Linked DNA regions of Drosophila melanogaster. The protein of the gene in region 1 interacts with the protein of each later gene in a pairwise test. Each region holds a gene or a part of one and is shown on either strand. Other genes may lie near its edges.

The links. The genes of interacting proteins can lie anywhere in the genome.
Region 2: the proteins of CG5002 (region 1) and C901 interact in a two-hybrid assay, tested with the Drosophila melanogaster proteins (one large-scale study listed by BioGRID).

The regions. Positions count from the first base shown.
Region 1 is NT_033778.4:17,746,942-17,755,179, forward strand, and holds CG5002 (uncharacterized protein), read left to right. Parts: upstream 1-3,351; 5' UTR 3,352-3,493; coding exon 3,494-3,509; intron 3,510-3,830; coding exon 3,831-4,130; intron 4,131-4,189; coding exon 4,190-4,414; intron 4,415-4,488; coding exon 4,489-4,604; intron 4,605-4,829; coding exon 4,830-5,133; intron 5,134-5,192; coding exon 5,193-5,495; intron 5,496-5,557; coding exon 5,558-5,703; intron 5,704-5,765; coding exon 5,766-5,936; intron 5,937-5,998; coding exon 5,999-6,205; 3' UTR 6,206-6,273; downstream 6,274-8,238. Other genes in the region: sub (subito), read right to left, coding at 1-435, 497-1,037; CG10931 (uncharacterized protein), read left to right, coding at 2,077-3,114; Sardh (sarcosine dehydrogenase), read right to left, coding at 6,635-7,598, 7,664-7,806, 7,860-8,238.
Region 2 is NC_004354.4:10,963,526-10,970,160, forward strand, and holds C901 (C901), read right to left. Parts: upstream 3,610-6,635; 5' UTR 3,543-3,609; intron 3,030-3,542; 5' UTR 3,028-3,029; coding exon 2,890-3,027; intron 2,824-2,889; coding exon 2,685-2,823; intron 2,625-2,684; coding exon 2,466-2,624; intron 2,258-2,465; coding exon 2,066-2,257; intron 1,995-2,065; coding exon 1,934-1,994; intron 1,731-1,933; coding exon 1,600-1,730; intron 1,542-1,599; coding exon 682-1,541; 3' UTR 507-681; downstream 1-506. Other genes in the region: vex (vexed), read right to left, coding at 5,219-5,772, 5,867-5,943.

The sequences.
Region 1 (8,238 bases):
TGCTCGTCACGAAAACACTGGTCAGACCCTTGATGAACACATGGCCTTTGTTGCCCACGATCTTCAGGTTTTTTCGTGGCACCTCCCCCAGTTTGTCCTGTTTCGGCGGAATGGCTAGCAGGTCGTACACAAGTTCATTGTAGATCTCCACGAAGGACACCCAAACCAAGACGGAAACATCGGTGGAAGCCTTCGTTTCGAACATGTGGTCGCCATCAATGACCTGCTTCAGACGCTGATGGTGGGCACTGATATCCGGACATAAGTCTAAAAGTTTTTTCCGAATCTGCAGCTCTTTCAGCGAGGCGTCGTCCTGCAAGAACACGATGCTGCCATTGATTAGCTTCAGCTTGGGCGATCGGAAGACGGTGTCCTGGTAAATGGTGAATATGTTTTCCAGGGCACGCGGAATGATTCCAGCACGCACATCATCGCCTAAAAATGGATTTAAATTAACAATTGCCCAGCAAACTTGTTGCAAGTCCTCTTCGCTTACCCAGTAAGGTATACGTTTTTCCAGACCCCGATGTGCCATATGTCATAATGGTCACACATTCCTCCTCCATAATTTTGGGACCCACACAGGTATCATAGATGTCTCGCTGGCCAACGGTGCTGTCAAAGATGGAAGTGAATCCAAAGTGTTTTTCCATGCGGTTCACATTGTTGCTGGTCGAGTCCACTTTGCAGCTAGTGATCAGCACATTTGCTTCTTCCGAGACTATGTAGGCTTTGGATGCATCCTTAACGGGACGCAAGCGCAGGAAGACCTGTGGCCCCGTTTCCACGTTGCTGCTGTCTGCCGCACTGGTAGCGCATGAGGCCCCTTCGGTTGCCTCGCTCGACTGGTACTTGTACTCCGATTCCGTGTCCGAGTATTCGGAAAAACTTTCTTCCTCCGACTCCTGAATGTTGTCAAACAGACGCATCTTTTTGTTGGGTCGCGGTCGAAAGCGGCGGTCGATGGAGGGATCCCGGGCCATCAGGAAGGAGCGCACCTCCCGCCTTGGCACCTCCGAAACCTCCTTGCTGTCCATTTTGCGCTGTTTATGTGGGTTGAAGGGATACTTTTTAGTTTACTTCACTTCGCGCTATTTTTCAGACGCCAGGGGGCTGCCAACTTTACTTGAATTTCAAATGATAGCTGGCAGCTCCACTGGCTAGTGTGACCGTTGATCATTTGAATTAGCCGTTACAAAATACCATCAATAACATTTAATGTAGAAATTCAATTTTTAATAAAAAAGATAAATTTTGACAAAAAAAAATCGATAGCAACACGTTCCAGTTATTATAAATAATTTCAATTCATTCTAGTACTAGCACACATTTTTAGTATAAAAATTCATTGATTCAAACTTTATAAAATAATAAAGGCATATATGTGCAGTTAAAATCCAAATGTTACTAAAATTTAAGTTAAAAATTCACTTTAAGTCTGTTAAATTACCATGCAAATATTAAGTTCACTGACTTGATTATCGCGCATTCTCCAATTTTGCCCATATGTAAGATTAGCAGCGTCGACAAATAATTAGGTGACAAATTGCCGGCACGGCACAGCACCGGCCATTTGTTTAATGTTTGGTTAACAAGTCTGGACAGCATAACAATAACAGGCTGCGCAAATAGAGCACCCTGTCGCCAAATAAGTACTCCCTTAAAACGCAAATTAATTGGGCTTGTTTACTTTTTCCAGTCTGATTTTTTACGCCCCCTGTCTGGGAATTCAAACAAATATTGACTAAATGAGTTATAAGTAGTTGTAGAAACAATTAACAATTGTATGTACTAGACAAATATTGTAAAAAAGTGTTTAATGAATTATCAGTACGTGTGTACTTTTTCTCGCGATAATTAAAAACAGACTCAACATTTGTAGGTAATTAATTTAAAAAAATAATAAAAACTTAAAACTGGGCGCCAAAAATAATCGGGTAAATGATGAAATGAAAACCCTTTTTACAAAATATCAGCAAGCTTTTGTCAACTCAGGAACTGTCACCATCATCGCCAAGTTTTCGAACTTTTCGCAGGATTCGTAAGAAATTAAAATTGGGCGAAAAAAATAAAATTATGGAATTGATTGAAACAGCTTCGACTCCTGGAGATTCCGAAACTGAAATCGCCATCCCGGAGGCCGCTTTCGATTCCTTTAAGATGCCTATGCTACCAAGTCAGTTCCATTTGGAGAACTCCATGTCTCCGGGCTACGCCATTAAGCACTCGCTCCTCGGTCACAGTGGTTGCGTTACTGGTCTAAAGTTTAGTTCGAATGGCGAGAACTTGGTCAGCAGCTCCGGCGATAGGCTGCTTAAGCTCTGGGACTTGAGCGCAACCCGATGCATTCAATCGCTGGCCGGGCACGGAGACGGAGTCAACGATGTCGCCTGGTCGGCGGCTGGATTAATTGCCAGTTGTAGCGATGACATGACCGTGCGTCTCTGGGATGCCCGCAGCAAGCTCTGCGTCAAAGTTTTGGAGGGGCATTCCAGGTACAGTTTCTCCTGCTGCTTTAATCCGCAGGCCAATCTGCTGGCCTCCACTAGCTTTGACGAAACAGTGCGCCTTTGGGATGTCCGCACTGGCAAAACGCTCAAAATCGTCCACGCCCACCAGGATCCCATAACATCGGTGGACTTCCACCGCGATGGCAATATTTTTGTCACCAGCAGCTATGATGGGCTGGTCCGCTTGTGGGACTCTAGCACCGGGCATGTGCTGAAGACTCTCGTTGACGTTGACAACATCCCGGTCGGATATGTGAAGTTCTCACCGAACGGACGCTACATCCTGTCGTCCACATTGAACAACACCCTTAGGCTATGGAACTACAAGAAGCCCAAGTGCATGAGGACCTATCGCGGGCATTTGAATGAGTTCTATTGCTCCAACTCCAATTTTTCCACCACCGGCGGCATTTGGATTGTCTCCGGCAGCGAGGATAATACGCTTTGCATCTGGAATCTGCAGACGAGGGAGCTGGTGCAAAAGATAAGCACGGAGGGCGACCAGATTTTGAGCACACATTGCCATCCCACGGCAAATGTGATTGCTAGCGGCGCCCTACAAAATTCATATGCCATTAAAATCTGGAAGAGCAGCGAGAAGTAGTTCCAACAATCAACAAAATTCCTCCACTCATTAGCTTGTAATTATTTTCTTTATATAAATAAGCCGGCCATGTCATTAGCCAAATATTAAGGTTGTCTTTGTAATTGTTTATCAACGGACTAACAGAGCGAACATGATATGGCGGCACCGGTACCTGCGCTTGTAAATCTTATATGGCCAGAATGTGCGAACGCGATTGCTTTCGGTCTCTAAAGCCGTTGGACGACGGCGATCGGAGCGGCAGTCGCGTTTGGAGCAGCACACTGAGCGGACGCGTTAGCTCCCCGGTTTTGATTACAGCCATTGCCTTTGCATCGCAGCCGGTTTCCCTATCGTTCTCGGAACTACAGCCCGGTTTAAAGCTGGAGAGCCACCCGCGATGAGAGCCGATGAGGGTGAGTAACTGCTCCAGGGGTTTTTCCGGAAGCAGCGATCGCGGCGATCAGGGTCAATTGATTTGATGCGTTTCCAGCGATTGTGGGGGCTGTAATCGTATAAAATACGTGCCAATTCATAAAAGAGTATCTGAATGCACCTTATCTGCGTGGGGTAGCCCAGGTTGTCTGGCGATAAGATGACCAGCCCAAAGTCAATATAAAACACTGATCGACAGATGTGCGAACAAGTTGCTGCCAGGCAAGATTAGCCCCGCACGGGGAGGGGTTATCTTGGCACACTTAAATACTCCTTATCCAAGGCTTGTTTTGAATTCGCAGATAATCTGTACCGGGAGCAACTGCCCAATGTGAGCACGCTTATTAGGGATGGCGGTCGTAAGCTGTGCCGTCCGTCCACCGTGACCAACAAGTTCCCGATCCTGAAGTGGCTACCTCGTTACCGATTGGAGTACATCATGCAGGACTTTATTGCGGGATTCACGGTGGGATTAACGACTATTCCCCAGGCGATTGCCTATGGAGTGGTGGCCGGCTTGGAGCCGCAGTATGGTTTATACTCCGCCTTCATGGGTTGCTTCACATACATCGTGTTTGGTTCCTGCAAAGATGTCACAATTGGTGAGTTCAGATGTGGGGTAAATTTCTGCTATCAGTGCTAATTTCACAACATCCACTAGCCACAACCGCCATCATGGCTCTAATGGTCAACCAGTATGCCACTATCAGTCCGGATTATGCGGTTCTGGTGTGTTTCCTAGCTGGTTGCATTGTACTTCTACTTGGATTGCTCAACATGGGTGTACTGGTCAGGTTCATTTCGATTCCCGTAATCACTGGCTTCACCATGGCGGCGGCCACCACAATTGGCAGTGCCCAGATCAACAACATCGTGGGTCTGACCAGTGAGTTGCGAAATTATTTTTTTATTTTCTAGAAATTTCAAACTACCTGAAACATTGAAATGCATTGAAAATAGGTCCTTCGAATGATTTACTGCCCGCCTGGAAGAATTTCTTCACCCACTTGACGTCAATTAGGCTCTGGGATGCCCTGCTGGGTGTCTCATCTCTGGTGTTCCTGTTGCTCATGACGGTGAGAAGAAAATAAAAACGAAATTTTATTAAATTTCAATATCAATTTAAGCCAATCAACAAAATTCTTGCAGCCGCTTGATTTTGATTTCGGGTTAAAAACCTTAAGATACAGCATAAATTTGGCTCTTCAGAATTAGTTGCTTTATTAACTTAAGTTAACTTGATGGTTGCATTATATATTATATATATTATTCACTAATTTACAAATGTAATATACTTTCAGCGTGTTAAAGACATCAAATGGGGCAATCGTATATTCTGGAAGTACCTTGGTCTCTCCCGCAACGCCCTGGCTGTGATCTTTGGCACCTTTTTGGCCTACATCCTCAGTCGAGATGGGAATCAACCCTTCCGTGTCACTGGAAACATTACGGCCGGAGTACCGCCCTTCCGGCTGCCGCCCTTTAGCACCACCGTAGATGGAGAGTACGTTTCCTTTGGCGAGATGATCAGCACTGTCGGCGCATCCTTGGGTTCCATCCCCTTGATTTCGATCCTGGAAATAGTAGCCATATCGAAGGCATTTTGTAAGTATAATTTGAATTAGTTCTAAAGCCATTTATACTAAGGAATTCTAAATTTTCAGCTAAGGGAAAAATTGTAGACGCATCGCAGGAGATGGTGGCACTGGGAATGTGCAACATCATGGGCAGCTTTGTGCTCTCCATGCCCGTAACGGGATCCTTTACCCGCACGGCTGTGAATAATGCCAGTGGGGTGAAGACACCACTGGGTGGAGCTGTCACCGGTGCCCTGGTGCTCATGGCACTGGCATTCCTTACCCAAACTTTCTACTTTATACCCAAATGCACGCTGGCTGCAATTATTATAGCGGCGATGATATCGCTAGTGGAGCTGCACAAGATTAAGGACATGTGGAAATCTAAGAGTGAGTTTATGCTGATAAAGTTTTGTAGGTATTACTACTAACGCTCTGTCTTAACTTTCCAGAGAAGGATCTGTTTCCCTTTGTGGTCACTGTACTCACCTGCATGTTCTGGAGTCTGGAGTACGGAATACTGTGTGGCATCGGTGCCAACATGGTATACATTCTATATAGCAGTGCACGTCCACATGTAGACATCAAACTGGAGAAGGTGAGCTTATCCTATCTTATCTAGATGCAATTTACACTAACAAATCATATATCATCTACCAGATCAATGGTCACGAAGTTAGCGTGGTGGATGTGAAGCAAAAGCTGGACTATGCATCGGCTGAGTATCTCAAGGAGAAGGTGGTGCGCTTCCTGAACAACCAGAATGGCGAGACCCAGTTGGTGGTTATCAAGGGCGAGGAGATCAACTCCATTGACTATACAGTGGCTATGGTAAGTGGGCCGCTAAAAGCACACAATCTGATTGATAATAATGTTTGCATCCCCATATATAGAATATTGTCTCGATGAAGGGCGATTTGGAGGCACTGAACTGCGCCATGATCTGCTGGAACTGGAACATCGCCTCCGCCGGAGTCGTCTGCCGACTCAACAACGATCTCCGTCCCATCTTCAAGTTCGATTTATCGCTGGAGGAGGTGGTAGCTGGCCACTTCGATAGTCCCTCCAATACGGCCTCCACCGTAACCATCGAGGCCTGAAGAACCTAGTTTATTATAAGCTGAAAGTATTGCATCAATATCACAATTATATGAAATTTCATTTAAGCAAAGAAATCCACTTGAGTGGCGACCCTCTGTCTGGCCGAGGTGTCCAAGTGCTCTAGAATTACGTCTGGAAAGGCATATCCTTCGCGGAAACCGAGAATGATGTCATAATAGTTGGACACAGAAATTAATTGAGCCGTAACCGCAACCATTTCGGGTGACCACTTCGCAGACTGCCTGTCTGCCTACACCGTGACCTTTCTTCGAACCTTTTCATATTCATGGGGAAAGTAATTTATGACCCTACATGTATGTTAAGGCAGGCACTTCAACAATACCGTCGTGCCCTGCCAGAAAGAGAAAGGTTGAGAGAAATTCCCTATGCCGGGTAAACGAGTTCTTGGAAGTGGAAGAGACTAATCTTTATTTATTGGACTTGGACTCGGATGCATAGTTACCGAGAACCCGTTGGCCGGTAGGATCGAATGGGCTGCGCAAGTGACAGTCGGCGCGGTATTTCTTGCCCAAGATGTCCACCTCGTACTCCCCGTTCCGAATGTAATCAGCATCGATGATCTTGCCATCTGGTCGGGACACGTATGTCTGACCGAGGGACTTTCCAAGGGTATAGGCATATTCAGCTCGTCTAAGTATGCCCACGGGCTCGCCATTTCGGTAGACTCCCTCCAAACCCCAGATGGGCACCTGATCCCGGAGCGTCAAGTAGACCAGTCGCTTCTTTAGGCCCTCAGCTCGCTGATTTTCGATGGCCGCCTTGCCACGGTAATCTGCACCCGTTTTGCGACATGTGAATCCCAAGCCAGCTTCCAGGGGCGTGTCATCCGGTCGCAGATCGAAGCTCCATAGATGATAGCCTTTTTCGCTGCTGAGGGAGTAAAGGGAACGGTAGCCAGCATTGCGCAAATCCTCTCCAGCTCCCGCTTTCATCAGACTCCGATAGACGGCAGCACAATCCTTCTTGGGCACATGAAGCTCGTAGCCCAGTTCTCCCACAAAGCTGACCCGCAGCAAACGGAGACCCACATCACCGAATTTGGCTAATCGAGTGCTGTTGGGAGCTACGTGCTCATCGGACAGATCACAGTCGATGAGGGGCTGCAGGATCTTTCGGCTGTTTGGTCCTTGAATAGAAATCACACCCAATTCGGCAGTCAGATCCTTGAGGCTCGCATTGAATCCTTTTCGACGGATCTCTGCCAGCAAAACACTGTAAGTGTAGAAGGCAGAAGCGCCGCCAGCCACAATATAAAAGCCCTGGCCATTGATCTTGGGATTGTAGACCTCTCCAGAACCGGGAGCAAGGCGGGAAATGGTCACATCCGCCTCCACTCCGCCGGCATCGTTTAGAGCACAGGTGTAGACAGTTCTAAAATGGAAGTGGTAATTGTTTAGAAAGGTTTCTAAATTTGTATATCTATACATGGATCTTACTTGCTGGGATCCCTGTTGGTATTGGCGGAGAATAGCCAGTCAGCGGCCTCCTGGGCCTGTGGACCATCTAGAAGCAGCTTGGCGAAGTAGCTCATGTTAAAGACCACGGCGTTATTGCGACATGCCAGGGCCTCCGAACCGATCTGAAAGATATATATCATTATTTTGGCTTTCCATAAGCTACTTAGCTACCTACGAGATCGTGGTACTCCGAGAAGCGGCTGTAGTGAAGATCCCCATCCAGAACTCTCTCGTACTCGCTGTCCTTGTGCCTCTGGTGGACATAGCTTCCGTACCAGTCATAGGGCTGAACCACCGCCTTCTTGGAACCGGTGGGCAGGAAGAAACCAGGCCGTTCCCAACCCTGCTTCTCCTCCATTACGGCGCCTGCCTTCATCATCTCGTCGTGAAGTGGATCCTTTTGGAAATCACGACCCGCCAGTGGTTGATCATACTTGAAGACCATGCTGTAGTTCTTCACGTAGCTCTCGTGCGACTTCTCCCTAATCCACTGAATGGCTTTGCCCTGCTCCTGGGTGAATCTGCGCAGATCGAAGCCAAACATGGGCAGGTCC
Region 2 (6,635 bases), on another chromosome or scaffold:
ATTATTATTATTATTCGTATCGATATTGTATTGAGTCATTCTCTCTCTCTCCCATACTTCTACATATTTTTTTGTCGATTCGTAAGTCTCCCATACCAGTTACTACATATATTTATTAACGCCCATATGCAAGAGTCCATATGTATGTTTAGATGTCTATGATGTGCTGGTTTCCATATTCCAATTTTCGATACCCAATCCAATCGTACTACCCCCAACTCGGTGGCGCTAAGATGGCCATATAGATCCCCATTCAAACCCGAGCTCGTAGTCCCCCATTTGTCTTAAGTTTAAGCGAACCAAGTGCAATCCGAGTGCAGGAATTGAACTCCCACAGGCTCTGAGTCCAATCCTCTGGTCCCCTATTCATATTTCGATTCAACGATTTCTTGTAGCACTTAAGATTAGCAAACTTTAATAATATCATTTTTTTTTTTTGACATTTGTTAAATCGAAAATTGCTTAGCTTAATCCCTAAAATTATCATAAATAAATACAATTTATATATGTATATCTATCGCAATGGATGGAGTTTTTTAATTGGATGTTTCATTCATTAGTTAATAATAAATATTCAGAAAAAAAAAAAAATTGCTTTGAGATGCTGCATATGTGGGCCCTTAACTGAACAATGTGTATATATATATAAGAGGGATTACTTGTCATTTGTCAGGTTCTTAACTATATAATATTTGGTATGAGTTGATCGCTGTCATCCTCCTCGTCGTCCTCGTCCTCATCCTCCTCCTCATCGTACTCGCCATCCTCATCCTCCTCATCATCGTCGTCATCTTCGTCCTCCTCCTCGTCTGCCACATTTGGCTTATCCTTGTGGCTGGTCACGGATGTTGCGGCTGTTGTAGCCGTTGGTGCTGTTGTTGCTGTTACTGTTACTGTTCCAGCTGGCGCCAAATTTGCTATTGTTTGCTCCTGGCTAGCGACGATGGGCAGCGGGGGGCGTGGCTGAGGTCCTGTCGCTACCGACACGCTTGTTGCATTACCCTTTACGGTTTTTTCGCCAGATGTGAGGGGAATCGGGGTGGCACGCCTCGTTGTAACGGCGCTTAACGCTTCATTAGTCGCATTGTCGCTGCCAGTTTCAGTTGCCACCACCAATGTCGTCCTTGTGGCGTTGCTGTTGCCGGGTAGTGAATTCATGGGTCCTGCTCCAGCTCCAGTTCCTGCGGTTGCCACGTTGGCTACCGTGTCATTTTTCCGCCGCTCCGGCTCGTTACCCGCTGGCAACTTTTCTCCAACCAGCCCGCCTCCTGGCTCGCTGTCATCGGGCACACCTGCACCGATGTCCTGCTGCCCGTTCTGGTCCAGTTCGCCATCTAGTTCCAGTACGAGCTCAGCGGGTGTGGGCGGTGTGATTCGCGGTGGCGCCTCTGAGGTCAGCAGAAAGTCATCGCGTATCTCGCAGTTCTTGCCCAGAAATCCCTGCCGGCACTGGCACTGGTAGCTCCCATCCTCGCGACTCAGCGATGTGCACTTGCCCCCGTTTTCGCACGTATCCGGATGCTCCACGCAGTAGGTGAGCTCTGTGGGTCAACTCGGTCAATTTCCCGTTGGCATGGTCACATATACGGATATACTCACTCTCGTCGCACAGCATTCCGCCCCAGCCGGGATGGCAGTTGCACTCCCATGGCGCCTCGCAATCCCCATTGGCACATCCCGGATACGGGAAGCACTTGTCGCACTGGCTACCCGTCCAGCCCACCTTGCAGCTGGAGAAGAAGGGGATGTCCGTGAAAATTGATGACAGATATGGGTTCGTTTTGCTGTTAGTTTGCTGTTAGCTAACTGAGCCATAATGCTTGGGAATGTTAAATTAAGGATAAAAATAGTTGACTTATCCGAAAAGGGGCACTCCAGCTTGCCGAAACCACATTTTCTGCATTTTCTTTATTGAAATGCTGCTCCTACTTACCGGCACTCGCCAGGTTTGCGGCAATATCCGTGCTGCTTGCTGCAATCTGGGTCACAGATTGCTGGAATGGCGGAATGGAGTTTGGGATTAGTAGGGTGAATGGCGGATTCCTTTGGTGGTTGCAGGACTTACGCGTCTGGCAAAGTAGTCCGGTATATCCGGGTAGGCAGAGGCATTCCAGTGGCTTGTTGCAGGTGCCGTGCTGACAGCCCGGCATCGTGGCGCATTCGGAGCAGGTGCGTCCAGCATAACCAATCCGGCAGCGGCACTCCCCAGGCGCTTCGCAATATCCACGGGTGCTGTGGCATCCGGTACGGCAACTTGCTTTGGTTGCGCGCGGATTGGAGGAAACAGGCAATTGAGTAATCGGATTGGACAGAGTTAGGAATGTTTGATTTGATTGGAAATGTCATATAACAAGTACAACCCCCAAAACGATATTAGTTCCCTATGTTTTAACTCCTTCTCTAAATGCTCCGTTCTTTAAATGTAAGATTGTAATCAGGCTTATCCTTTTCCGGTAACTACTTACGTTCCGTGCAGAAGAGTCCCGCCCAGCCAGGCTTACAGATGCACTCGAATGGCTTGGTGCATCCGCCATGTTGGCAACCTGGAAGCGGAATGCACTTGTCGCAGAGTTCGCCGCTGTATCCGATGCGACACCTGCATTCACCGGGTCGCTGGCAATAACCTGTGTGAATGTGAGTTCAGGGGTCACAAGATAGGGAATCATCTGAAGGAGTAAACATACCATTCATCGGGTCACAGCCCCTTCGACACATAGGCACCTGGCAAAGATCACCCTGCCACCCAGGAAGGCACTTGAAGTCACCTTTTTCATCGCAAACATAGTGTGCATTTTGCCGCTGTTTCTGTGATTTCTCACAGGCCTTAGGTAATCGAATATTTTCGGAATTGGTTCGAGAAAATTATGAACGTTAGGTTCTCCAACTTACTCGCTGTTTCCAGAGTGGAATATTCGAATTACTACTTTGCCGCGCATCGAAGTTGCGTCTATAGGCATTCATTTCCTCCAATTTGAGGGCGGTAATCGCGGTCACCAGCAGGAGAGCCGCCTTTTTGTCTGACAACATATCTAAGTCCGATTTAATAATAATATAATAAGTGTTTGTTGTTTCTATTAATAAATATAATATTATTAATATTATACGTTTGACTACTCCGTTAAAATTCCCTGCAAATAATGGCTTTTATGTGTACATAAAAAGCAAGATCATCTAAGTCGGATCTAACGACCTCTTCACAAAAAAAGTTTCTTAGACTTTAAACCAACTTAATGTGCTGAACTTTATGACTGAATAAAGAAAACCTAAGTGTAGGCCTTGTCAAATGTCTAGATGTTTTCGATTATCGGCTTAAACGAAAAGTGTTTTCGTTTGGCCAAACTTAGACCGTTAAAAGAAATCGACGGCCCACGGCCCCTCGTCGCAATTAACATGTTTGAAGACAACTTTCTTCGCGGCCGAACCAAAAAGAACGGGAATCACACCGCCGACAGAGAACCCGACAACCAAACAACCGATTTCTTGATGAATCACCACTGGCGAGAAGAAATGAAACTTGAAGAATGCAAATGCAAAAGAATTACTTTTAACGGTTAAGACTGCAGCTTCTTGTCGTCGGTCCGTCTCGGTCTGCGATCGCTTTGGGACTAATCAAGTAGCCGCCTCGTCGGACCAGCTGCCTCTGGCCGATTCTCGACTCTTTCTTTAAGTCAAGTCAAGTCAAGTCTTCGCTCTTCTCTCTGTCATTCTTCTGGCCTTCACCGTGAACTCAAGCCTCGAAGCCGAGAGGCAAAGCCAGAGAAAGAGCGCTGAAAGGCACCTAACCGACCATTGGTGGTAATTGGGTCAACCGGTAAACCCAAAACAGCTGAGTACTCAAGCACAGTGGGTCCAGATATGGTTTTTATGGACCACTCTACACTTTGAAAAAGAAGAAAACTAGGAAAACTTGTACCACAAAATCAGGAAATAAATAAAATCTGAAACAATTTTAAATTAATAATGTAATTATACTATAAAGATCTATATGCCTACATATCCAATCTATTAAATGCTTTAATAGCATTAACTATTAAATGTTTCTTTTTATATGCCCAAAAACTATTTATTTTATTTTATTTTACAATTACTTTCGACCCACTGTGCAGCACTGACGATCGAGTCACCAAACAAGTTGTAGATAAACCAGGATGGCTCAAGACTCTAGATTGGTAAATGTTCAAAGACAACATTGGTTTACTTTAAAATTATACTCGTTCTTTATTGAATGATCTCATTATTGGTTTAATTATAATTATAATAATTATTTCGACATTCGTGTGTACCTAAAATCCAGATTAATACTAAGATCCAAACGTTAATTCCGACTCCAGAGGGTTGTCTGCCAGTTGGGTAACCAAAAATTGTGGGCCTTAATCATTTGCTTTTGACAAATGTATCATATATGTTATGTTATGTGTAGAACGTGTGTGTGCTATATGCTTGCGAGTCGGGGGGAACTAACGATTAGACAGATACACTCGTGCACATCCACATACATGTATATATAGGTTCTTTCACTACGCAGCTCGACTCCATTTTCACTGTAGATGTTATGCGGTATTTGATGACTTAGTCTCTAGTTTCTAGTATTATCCGATCCGAGATCCGAGCGTCTTCACAGACCCCCAGCATTTATATTGAGTTGTTGATTGGGTCCTGAGCCCAAATGCTTACACGCGAGTGTTTCCTTAACTAATTAGAGAAATGCTAACCGAAGGAAGTCCACAGCAGCCGTGATATCAATATGGTTATATGATGAATATCATGTGTGTGGAGGAGATCATAAGTCTTTGGAAGTTTTTTTTTAAATTTATAAAGTATCTAAGAGAGCAGAAGTTAGTAGTCCGAAATTGTAGAACCCCTCGAAAACTTCAGAAATATGTGATATTCCTCCATATATACCCTATATTTCACTGGCAGTGTATCCTTTATTTCCGGTTCTCTTCTCTAGCGAGACAAACAAAAAAAAAAATCCTGACCTCATCACACATACATATACATACATATGCTATGATCTTCTTAATCCACTGGCTTAATGTTTAAACGCTTACATACGATGGGGTACTTTATTGATTTTGGGCCGGAAGTGAGGGGGCGTGGCAGGGGCGCGGGTGATATGATATGATATGATGAGTGGGGGAGACCGTACACCATAACCTACACGGAGAAAAAAAAAAATGGACACCGCAACTTGAGTGGGCGGCATGACCACGTCGCCTTAGACGAAGATGAACTGGGCGTGGCCGCACTTCTTGGGCGGACCGACGGTCAGACGGAGCCATTTGCCGCGGCACGACGGCGCCGGCAGCGCGCTCCAACGTGTCGTGCGTCCGGCCAGCCCCTCCCCCCGGCAATGGTAGGTGGGCGGCAGCGTGGGCGAGGGCGTGGCCGGCACAGCGCTGCGCTTTCCCGCTGTCCGGCGGCTGTGCGACATTTGCGACATCTGCGACTGCCGCTGGTGACGGTAGTCGGTACTCTCGTTGCTGTCCGAGTCCAGGGCATTCTGCAGGTCATCCTGCTCATCCTGCTCCGGCTCCTCATCCTCCTCCTCCGCCTCGCCATCCTGATTGGTCGCCTCCTCTTCGCTGCTGGTCTCACGCTGCAGTCGCTCCTCCTCAAGGTCATCCGTACGCTGGCCAAAGGCAGAGGCTGCGGATGAAACTGTGGTCGTGGACGGCGTAGTGGGTCCTTGTGGTGTCCTGGCGGTGGTGGAGCTGCCGGCTGAGTCTTGGATCAATGCCTCAAGGTCACAGCGCACCGTGATGCGATCGCCTGGAAAATAAAACACAAGACAGTCAAAATATTATTTTACACATTTGATTGCATAAATATTAAATACTACTTTAGTTACTTTGATTTTTCTTACCTTCTGTCATCAGGTTATATGGCGGCAACTTGTTGCAGGCTTTAGATGATTTTATTACCTCGAATTCCACGCAGTATCTATAAAGAAAGTTTAAGAATAGCGCAAATTATTAATAATTATACAAAGAAGAGATGCGAATATCTTAATAATTTGCAAAACATTCAAATAGATTTAAAGATGAAATCGGTTTCACTGGCTAAATAATGCTTAATTAATTAATCCATCCTCATAATCTGCATCCTACGCCTTCGAAACGCTCGCTTATTTGGGTATTCACTCATTCAGTCGCTCATTGAGCGATTCATTCGTCCGTTTGGTCCTTCATTGATTATGCATGTCCTTCGGTGACGCCTCATTAGAGGAGCAAAGGATCTGGCTGGCCATTGAGATGTTAAATATTACAATTATTGTAATTCAGATTCAGATTCCATCAACGGACGCAAAGTAGACAGAAACAGCAGCAGGAGCACTGATTTGTGCAATTGTGCGGACTGAAGCGGGCTGCTGAATACAGGACTTCAAAGGAAGAGGAAATGCGAATTGTCTATTAAGCCTAACAATTTCCGTTTCCGTTAGGCAAAAAAGAGCAAAAACAAACATGGCAGGCGAAAAATCGAACTGACAAGTGCCTTTGAGTGTGTGGTGTGCGGGTGTGCGTGTGTAAGTGTGCAAGAGTGTCGAGAGTGTCTGTGTGTGCGTCTGACAGCTGTCAAGGTGTTGACAACGGAAATTGCGTAGGAAATTTCAAAAGTGCCCGACATTTTGGGGC